Neodiprion lecontei: one gene and its partner. The protein of the gene in region 1 interacts with the protein of each later gene in a pairwise test. Links are inferred from orthologs where the notes say so. Each region holds a gene or a part of one and is shown in the gene's direction. Other genes may lie near its edges.

Region 1 (4,774 bases):
CACCTGGCGGTCCTGGTAATTTATTCTGAAGCTGATGAACGTATTTACAAATGTCGGAAAAATTATGAACACGACAGTCCAAGCAAAATATGTTATCTTGTTATAGATCAGATATCGAGCCGCTAAGTTGATGTCAGCTCCGATATCGAAAATATGGGTAACGATAGAAAAACTCAGAAATATTATATCCCAACGTGTTACACTGGCACTTTCATCTGGTCGGTCGGTTTCATCGTCATACTCAATGCAACTCTCTGGATTGTCAGTGTTCTCAGCGCAGTTGTTGCCTAACCTCCCTCGCAAACTTTCCACACCTTCATGTGTCCTCCTGGCTTCATGGATGCGCACCGGTGATAGCATGTTCAAATGAATTCCACGCATTTGTTCGAATTATATTAATATATTTATAGTTGCTAGAAAAAAGAGTTGCACTGAAATTACCCTGAATACCAGACGTTTCGCTTTTAGCTAGCCACCCCTTTTTCCGACTTCTACGCCCCCCCTCCCGCACGTTTTGCCAGAGGCGACATATTACTGCGACAGATCAAAATTAGATCGAAAAAATGTCAAGGTCTTTAAACTTTGAAGCGTCTCCGCGTGGACTCTTTTGACAATCATTTTACACCAGCATCGGTATTACGTATCCGCGAAAAAGTATAATTTCGTTCGATGTTTTTTAGTTTGGTTCCAGCTAACAAAAAGGTGAAAATTGCAATAAATCATCTTGTCAAAGCACTGATACCACCCTGTCATCTCGTTATACTCATTATTTAACCACAATACACACTGATACACACCAATGCAACCAGTGAAAATATGTATGCCATTGGCAATATAACTATATCAGTGCCTACGGCGTATGAAATTATTTTGTGCCATTCGTGCCAGCTACGTCACGCAACTCTCATGCTACCCCATTCTTATCATTAGCTAGCTGATTTATCGGTTCAATGAAAATTAAAATCGGTCTGTCTCTTCTGAGCACTTTCCAATGGCCAAAGAAAATTAATGTGTTTTATACCAATTCAATCTAATTCTAAGTCCTTGGGTAATAGTCTTTATACTTTTCCCATGTATTTTATTATAAAGTGGAAGATTTCAAGGACAAAGAGTGCAATTGCTATATAAAACCAATTGATTCGTATCAACGTGTATCTGAACATTTTGCTTGAAACTTACAGACTTATCTTTTACGGAATGAGCATTCGAACGGTTCGGCAACCCTGTTTGAGTCAGATAGGAATCATGCGAGAATATCACATCGTATGTTGCCTTCATAGGATCAGAAAATCTAACAGAGAATTTATGGTCGTGCCTGTTAGAATGTTACGTGACTTTACATCTATTGAATGCCCCGTGCACGTTTGCACCGTAGTTGGCATACATTTGCGTGATTTTCGATCTGATCGTGCATGAACTCATTGCTAAAATCGTTATATGAACTTACACCCTTATTCATAGTCCTTCCTTGAGGAACAAGGATTCCTTGTTCGTGAAACGTGAAATGAGGAACAAGGAATCCTTGTTTCTCAAGGAAGGACTATGAATACGGGTGTAAGGCTCGCGGAAAGTGTGGGCTAGATGAGCCTGAATACGGTTAATATAGAAGTTTCCTGCAATTACCAACTATTCTCTCTCACCGACCCATTAACGTTGACTTCAGACGGTTAACATGCCAACATTCCTAATTTACTTTTTCATACCAAATAATGAAGTTTAGTTACTTGTCTTGAAATATTTATTTCGTCTATGCCCAAGTCAATGTTCGGTATTATAAGTCACATAAACGGATAGAAACCAAGATAGGCTCGTCGTATACTCTATTAAATTTAGATAAAATGTTACATGGCCAGCAATGAAGGTGGAACTGATACTTCAGAAAGCCCTTGAATATCCCAATTAAGAGAAACTAAACGTTTCGCCGTGCATGTTACAGAACAATGGATCGATTCGTTGAAAAATAAAAATTCCGTGGTTAGAAACATGACAACTGCGACTCCCTGTTGATGACGGCTCGGTCTTAGAGCTGTCAAGGTGTAAAAAACGAGAGTGATAAATATTTAGAGTCAGACTTAATAAAGACTGTACTGTAATAAAACAATGGCGACTCGAAGTTTAACAGAACCTTTTATTCTTATGCGTAACAATGCATCACAGACTCGACACATATACTCTGAACAAGTAAGAAAATTTTCGTTAATTCATTTACTGATGTTAGCCCACAGTAATTTCTTCAAACTTGGTTTGATTAACCATATGCCAATTGACAGCAAATCATCATGCGATAATTACTATTTTAACACAGAATTTGTCGGACAGAATGGCTCTTGTAGCCCCGGAATCAATGACTGGAGGTGACGTCGAGTTAGGGGGTTTGAATTTGGCTGGAGATGCACCACCTGCATGGTCTGATGCTCTGGAAGAAACCCAATACATCCTTAGTAGACTGCGAGCAAAGCTTGCTGAATTAAAGGAACTTCATGCAAAGCATTTGACCAGGCCAACGTTGGATGACACGTCTCAGGTATGACTGGAGCTGGCATAAGGCTCTAGTCAATTCATATTGAAATGTAAATGGAATATCTAAGTATCAGCATATTATTTGCCTTCCACCTTTTTCTGCCTCTTGTAATATATTATTGCCTGAAATAGATTTCAGCGAATAATCATGTTCTTTTCAAATGAAAAAAATTAATGTCAGGGGATTTTAAATGTAAATATTTGTAATAAATAGCTCTATTGAAAAAAGTTGAGCATAATTTTGTATGGCATGTGCAGGAAGAAAGGCAGATGGAACAATTGACCAGAGAGATGGGAAGAGCATTTACAAGTGGCCATCGGCAAGTGCAACTTATCAAGACAGCTGCCAGACAAGAAAGTAGAGCAAGTGAACGTCGACTTGCAGCCAGTGCCGCAGTAGCTCTTTCCACTGCTCTCCAGGAGCTGGGGTTATCCTATCGAGCTGCGCAAAGCCACTACTTACAGCGTACTATCACTATTGATATAATTTTATCATCTGTTCAGCCAGAATCCTAAACCTGAAGATGTACATAACACTGTGTTAAAATTAAACTAAAAGTCACGATGTTCCAAGTCAAGTAAAAATTGTTATGTTCAAGTTTGATAAAAGTCAGAATCTTATTCATTACTAAAATGCTGGGGGAGAAAACATAAAAGAAATAGGTTCAAAAGATCTCTGTTCAGTGATGCATGCTCCATTTTATCGATTTTACTTTTATTCACTCAATGCAACTGCAGTTCTCTCTTGGGCAAATTGACATTGATATGTCTATATGTTTTTATCTAGGTTTGATCGCATCTAAAAGAAAAACTCAAATTTATGTCAGTTAAGATCGTGGCTTTGTTTAAATATCTGAAGGCTGAAACACAGAATCCGATTCACAACATAATCGTGTAAAGATTATTCAATCGTCATCCAGGCTTTATCTAAATGTAATCCATGTTAATGACAGAATTGAATTCGAGAGAAGAAAGAAGTCGGCAGTACTTTGAGGAAGATCAAGAGTTTGTTTCTGTTGAACCATCGGATTCATGGGCAACAGATTTAAAGTTTGCTCAGGTTGGTGGAAGTAACTATGAACAACAACACGAACGGCAGTTGCAGCAAGAGGTCCTTTTGGAATTTGATGACGAAGAGCGGACCAGAGAAGCAATGATAAGAGAACAAGAAGTCGGACATATTGTACAGAGCATATCTGATCTAAATCATATATTTAAGGTAGAGATTTACCATGAAGTTATTTCCTTGCTTCAATACAACAATACTTGTAGATTTTTGATACAACCAAATAAAACAAACCAATGGACAATCGTTACTAACAATCTGCTTATGATTTTTGTAGGACCTGGCACACATGGTTCAGGATCAAGGTAGCGTATTAGACCGAATTGACTACAACGTTGAACAGACACAGATACAAGTGCAAGAGGGTTATAAGCAATTAAAAAAAGCTGATACGTACCAAAGAGCGAATCGCAAATTATACTGTATTATGGTGCTAACAATTAGTATAATATTCCTCAGCTTCCTCTTTGTTATATTCAAAACCTAGTACAATTGTATTAATAATATCACTGAATTAAGTAATTATCGTCCCATGGTTATTTAATTAATTAATCACTACAATGTCGAATTTATCCATAGGCAATTCATGTGTATGTATGTACGTACCTATGTACAAGTATAATAATGATATGTAATGCTGACAGCTAATAAATTATCAACTATTTATTTAAATGAATATAACCAGTTACTTGGCGTCATTGTGCTGCTCGCTGAAATGAAAATAAAAGTTGTGGAATTTCAAGTATCCACCAATCAGATGTAACATATCCTAATCAACCTAACCTTACATCTACAGAAAATATGCATGACTGCTGTGTGTTAGAGGCTTGAGCCAAGTTCGAAGTTTCATCTTGGTGATGACGCTGTATCAGTTACTGTATTTTCAAACGAATCATCGGTACTAAAAATTCTACGGGATTAAAGGTAGGGTGTATTCCGTTGTGTTCCGAGATAAGCTGCCGGTCCTAAAAATTTCTGAAGACTGAGAGAGAGCTCAGGAAAAATCGGGTAGAGCAAGAGAGATAAAGACAGCAAGCTGAGTTCAGAACACAACACATTTTATTATCCTTTCACGTTCGTTGTTCAAGGTGACGTGACGTACGCGACGATTCGTGTTCCGTAGATTTTCGAAAATATTCAATAGTGTACTAGATAATTATCCTAGGAATAAATACAGAGTGCACCACA
Region 2 (5,937 bases), on another chromosome or scaffold:
ATATTAAATCTATCTGATTTCTAAACGTCCCCTATAGCGGTATGCTTAATCAAGCGCAGCAGCTCCAGAAATAATTTCAATAAGTTCTCTGGTGATGACAGCTTGGCGAGTACGATTGAAGGTCAGAGTGAGTTTCTCAATCATTTCACCGGCATTCTTACTTGCGTTATCCATAGCAGTCATCCTGGACGACTGCTCGCTGCAAGCACCTTCTTTCATACTGTAGAAGAGCAGAGAAGCTAGAGAAAACTCGAGATAGCTTTGAATGACGGAATCATCTAGTGAATCATAGATGGACAATTTCGGAGCAGTGGCAACTGAATCTTTGTCGTACAAAGGCAAATCTGCAACTCCATAGGAAACGACAGATTTGAATTTATTGTAGACAATGCGTCCAGATGCAAAGGAGTATCCACTGTTTAAAATCTCTGCAGCCAATTTGGAAGCATCAGTAAAAGTTGGTGGCAGGCGACCAACTTCGGAGGCAACAAACAATATATTATTGGCAAAAATTCGGGCTAAGACAGCTCGTGATTTTTCACCTACGCATATGATTTTTGTGTTCTCTTTATCTGCAGGATTTGCAAGGAGCTGATCTCTAATGTTGCGGGCAACTCCTGTGTGGCAAGCTCCGCAGAGACCTCGGTCTGAGGTAATTGCAATTACGAGTTTGCTCGGTACTCCTTCCGGTGCTGCAATTTCAGCTTTTTCATAAAAAGCTTTGGTGCCTTCTCCAAGGGGGCGGGCCTGTTTCAAATCCCTCTCCGCACGGTTGTACTTAGCAGCGGACACCATCTTCATCGATTGAGTAATCTTCTGGATGTTTTTAACTGACTTCAGACGCAGTGAGATGGATTTTAAAGTCGCCATACCCCGCTGTTGAAGCTGCTGCGAGTGCGCAGGCACTAAAGTTAACGTCTGACGAAGCATCTTTACTTTTGGCCTGCCCCTGAAATTAATTATAATCGTAAAAAGACTTGCTTACAAGGTGAATTATGTCAGACGAGCAGAAATTTATGCCTGTGTGCGTGCATAAGTGTGTAGACATTTATGTAATCGATTCACGCAGATAAGTCATGTGCCGATTTAATGTATGCAAATAATAACGCATGATTGTACATCGGTCAACGACAATAAAGTCCTTGGATAATGATTAAACCACGATACAATTACAATTTACGGCTTCTTTTGTTAAAAACAACCGTTCCAGACACTTACCCAGAAATTTGGCAGAAAGTTAGGTAGGAAAAGCAGGGACAACCTAATCCACAGATACTCTACCGCAAAGAGCATATGAGTAACAACCGGGACTAATGGTCAATGGCCAACTAATGGATAGACAGACGAAATTGCTGACAAGGTAGACACGAATACGAAGGCCTATCCTGTTTGTTATGTTAATTTGTCATCCCTGCTATAAAATATTTCCCAGCCCCGTCGAGTGAATTAAATATTGTAAAGCTTGAAAGGATTAAACCATTGAACAGCTGTAAAACCATTTAAAATTTTTTATATCACGTAGGCCGCTTTTCAAAGATCATCTCCCGGCCGTTGACTCAGCTTGAGCGGCATAATGTTTAATTCCACCGCCAGATGGATGCACCACTATCAAGTCATAAATCTATTTAGGAAAAAGAACGGTAATGTTCTTCGACTTTGGCGTATGATGTATGATAAAACATGCATACATATAAGTTCAGGCATTTAATATTACCCTATAAATGTGAATATCACTTTCATTTCATATCAAAAAATAACACCCGCAAAACACGGATCAACCTAACCTCAATGTATGGCTCAATTTCTGGTTTCACATAGATAGACGAACGCGATTGGCAAACGGCGATCCCCCCTGTCTTCCCTCAGTGGAAATAAGTGAAAACGAATAGGGTGGATGTTTCCTTCATGGTGACGTCAGAGCAGGTCAGAGCTCACTGGTGGCGCACAGTGAATGGATTTTGTCAATAAAGCGAGTGACAGTATAATAGAGAAATAGCGAAGTGTTTTAAAAAGTATTTATCATAATGGGTGACAATGAGCAGAAAGCCATACAGCTCATGGCTGAGGCAGAAAAAAAATTAACTTCCTCGAAAGGTTTCTTTGGATCTCTTTTCGGGTGAGTTGATATTGATTTGTCAGAAAAATGACAGACTGCAAGGATGGACGAATTTATTGATACGTACGTCGCAATTTGACGAGCTCCTTACTGATTTGCATAAACGATCCTATTCCTAAGTGACATATTTTCGATACATTTTCACGTATTTTACTATCACTTGAAATTCATCGTACGAATCATGAGAATTCGCCAATTTCATATCATCAAGAGTTTGATATTGAAATCAAATGAATATTTTTTTAATGTACGTGCATAACTCGACCCCTTCATTGCTACGTTTAGGCACTACTTCCAGGTCTAACAATTTTCCTCCAATCTCAGTTCTTAGGGCATAACAAACCTTCCAAATTTACACATCAATTTAGAGTCAGTATGTTCAATGGTTGAGTGACAAGGTCCATATGACATTCGACAATCTTAAATTTACACACATGATTAAAGTTTAAACAATAATTTGCCGAATTGTTATTGTATGTCGTATGTCCTGTACGACTGAACAAGTATATTGTGTAAGTAGGGTCGCGAGTGCTTGTAAACTTAGCATCCATTACCTTGTTCTTTTGTGTTAATCGACTGAAAACTGAAACAATTACAAAATGTATTCTTAGTCATATTTTTTCCTGATCTTAACTTCACAATAACATGATATGGTATTATTTAGCTTTGTTTATTCTCATATGCAGAATGCTTCCTGTCGACATTCGGACTTCACTCAATCCACTGAATTAAGTTTATTTTTGTAAAGACTATCCATTACATTTATTCTTCATGGACTTATATTTACCCAATTATTTGTTTATGTGTATTACTTGCAGTACAAGATATCGAAATACAAATAAGAGTATAAAATTACTTATTCACTGAGCAATATATTCGGGTGATTACTCGTTGATTCAATCAAGGAAAGGTATGCATTTCAAAAAAATTCATTGCTGAGAGATAAACTTCATTTAAATGGTTTCACAAGTATTGATAAAATGTTATGCAACGTGATTAATTAAACTGCTGAAGATATCTCAGTTTAACATAAATGCTTGATTGTTTTTTATAAAATGGATAACGAATTTCTAAGAATTATCTTCTACGATATTTTAAGTATCATTAAAAATTCACAGACATATGTTACTGTTAAACAGAAAAATCATTTCTTTGATGAATGAGGAACTTGCTTGTCCGAGACGAAATTCATGTTACTTAACAAACTGATGACAGAAAATATTCTCAAAAAACACATTATGCCTACATTAAAAATTGTTTCATACAACTGATGGAGGTAAATTTGAAGATCATAGTTAAACCAGTTTAGGAATGAAACTTTGAAGCATGACCAAGCAATACTGAAGATATAGTTTGTTCCAATGATGTTTCCGAATCTCACATACAAGAAATTTATATTAAAAAATTTCAGCCTGTATCTAGCTTGTGAGATATTAGGGAAAATCTTGTCAATCTATCTGATGAATAGATTTCATTTTGGCATTGATAATTTAATAATCTAAAGCGGTAATTACAAACTGCAGTGTAATCGTTGTGTTATTCGTACAAAATATTTGAAAAAAGCGCGTATTACTCCACAGAGGATCGTCGAAGGTAGAAGAAGCAGTAGAATGCTATCAGCGTGCAGCAAATATGTTCAAAATGGCAAAAAAGTGGGGAGCCGCAGGAAATGCATTTTGTGAAGCAGCTAATCTTCACGGCAAAGCTGGTAGCAGACACGATGCTGCGACAAACTACGTAGATGCTGCCAACTGTTATAAAAAGTCGGATCCAAATGGTATGATTGTTTGTTGTGTGATATAGGTTGAACTGTCTTGAATTGCAATCACTGAACGTGCCTCTCATTTGACGTTTTTTTTTACAATATTGTAGAGGCAGTTAGCTGTCTTCTAAAAGCAATAGAGATATATACGGACATGGGAAGGTTCACAATGGCTGCTAAGCACCATCAAAGTATAGCAGAGATGTATGAGAGTGAGTCTGTCGACCTTGATAGAGCAGTAAACCACTACGAGCAGGCAGCCGACTATTTCCGGGGTGAAGAAAGTAACTCTTCCGCAAATAAATGTTTGCTCAAGGTGGCACAATATGCCGCCCAACTTGAGAATTACGACAAAGCGATCCAGATTTATGAACAGGTTTGTGTGATTCATATTAACTGTTTGGTTTACGATAGGATGGTAGGGGATCTTAGTGTATAAGAATAGAACAAATTAAACACTTGCTCTTATGCGAGATGTAATGTATAATTTTATAGAGATTGATGACTTACAGGTCGCCTCTTCGTCCCTCGAAAGCTCGCTGTTGAAATATAGTGCGAAGGAGTACTTTTTTCGTGCTGCATTATGCCATCTCTGCGTCGATGTTTTGAATGCTCAACACGCGATCGAACGTTATCAAGAACAATATCCTGCTTTTCAGGATTCTAGAGAATACAAACTTATCAAGGTAAATTAGTAATTTATTATCAACATTAAATGAAATAAAGTTCAAATTTTACGTGGATAAATGCCAGATACTTAAGATAGTTAAGTATGTTTTTGTCCTAAAATCTTCACCTACTTTTTTGTTGTTGACACAGACGCTAATCGAGCACCTAGAAGAACAAAATTTGGAAGGATACACAGAAGCAGTTAAGGAGTATGATTCCATATCACGGTTGGATTCCTGGTACACAACGATCTTATTGCGCATTAAGAAACAAGTCAACGACAACCCAGACCTACGCTGATCTTTTCACTCTTTTACACATAATAATATGCCATTAATATCTTCCCACTCAGATTGTGCACATCTTCCTCTCATAGCCAGGCTTATAGAATATCTTCAGACCCTTGCGTCTTGAAGGGGATAAACGAATACTGTGTTTTATTAAAGTACTCACGAAATTGTTTATCGTTCTTAGAAATGTGTGAAGTATCATTGTATAGAATTGAAATATATTCAAGAATGGTAGTAAATACATTCTGTTGGAATCGGTTTGTAACACTAGTACGTCAATATTCTTCATTCACACTTACACAGGGCCTGATTCAATTTGGAACGGATGTTATTAAATTTTTCTACTATCCGACACTTATGAATTTTTTGCTAGTGAACATATAACGATGAATTTTTTTGTTCCTAAAAGTACATGGCACGATCACTACTGAAGGTATAGCTCAGAGGCACAGATAGCGATAAAGCCTCATTAGGTTGTTTATAACGTTTAGAAAGGCTACCTGGATTACAATTCAGAATAATAATGTGTATATGTTTCATTTAAATTAAAGTTCGAACTTCCAGGAGAAAGTGTTGTTTCTCATTCTTCCAGTTCCCGTTCGTTACTTTGTGGCAATTTACAATCAGTGCTAACATAAGTGGGGATATATTATCTACGACGAATTTTTTTTTTTCACATTTCTGAATTAACTGAAACTCCGTTCTTTTGAAACGTTATAAAAACTTAAAATTCAATTTTGAATCGTTGTAACTAATATCATTGCTTTGTACTGTTTTTCACCTTAAGTGACTCATAATTAGTAACATAATGCACTGACTACATTCATATATACATATATACTTATAATAAATATACATATATTGGCTATAATAATGTTAAATTAATAATAACGTAATATTTTACCAGTTTCATTGAAGATATACTATTTAGCTGCCGAGTTAACCATGCAAAAATGTTAATAATGTTATATAGTATTGGTAGGTTATTCTCAATTTCGAGATTATTTCAATGTTGTGTAAACGTATATGTCAATATTGTATTTTGTATATTACATATTAACAATTATTCCCGACAAAATTGCAGATTTTTTATTTATTTT

What was found. The genes of interacting proteins can lie anywhere in the genome.
Region 2: the proteins of syntaxin-16 (region 1) and alpha-soluble NSF attachment protein interact in a two-hybrid assay, tested with the Drosophila melanogaster proteins (2 studies listed by BioGRID). The link is inferred for Neodiprion lecontei from reciprocal best matches to the Drosophila melanogaster genes Syx16 and alphaSnap.

The regions. Positions count from the first base shown.
Region 1 is NC_060262.1:42,178,258-42,183,031, forward strand, and holds syntaxin-16, read left to right. Parts: upstream 1-1,724; 5' UTR 1,725-2,100; coding exon 2,101-2,181; exon of another isoform or gene 2,182-2,305; coding exon 2,306-2,524; intron 2,525-2,778; coding exon 2,779-2,986; intron 2,987-3,473; coding exon 3,474-3,739; intron 3,740-3,863; coding exon 3,864-4,073; 3' UTR 4,074-4,258; downstream 4,259-4,774. Other genes in the region: XK-related protein 6, read right to left, coding at 4-381.
Region 2 is NC_060263.1:28,720,375-28,726,311, reverse strand, and holds alpha-soluble NSF attachment protein, read left to right. Parts: upstream 1-1,904; 5' UTR 1,905-2,024; coding exon 2,025-2,116; exon of another isoform or gene 2,117-2,159; coding exon of another isoform or gene 2,160-2,179; intron 2,180-3,696; coding exon 3,697-3,893; intron 3,894-3,988; coding exon 3,989-4,254; intron 4,255-4,390; coding exon 4,391-4,564; intron 4,565-4,697; coding exon 4,698-4,847; 3' UTR 4,848-5,407; downstream 5,408-5,937. Other genes in the region: ATP synthase subunit gamma, mitochondrial, read right to left, coding at 46-930. UniProt on the Drosophila melanogaster protein: Required for vesicular transport between the endoplasmic reticulum and the Golgi apparatus. Also between the endosome and phagosome.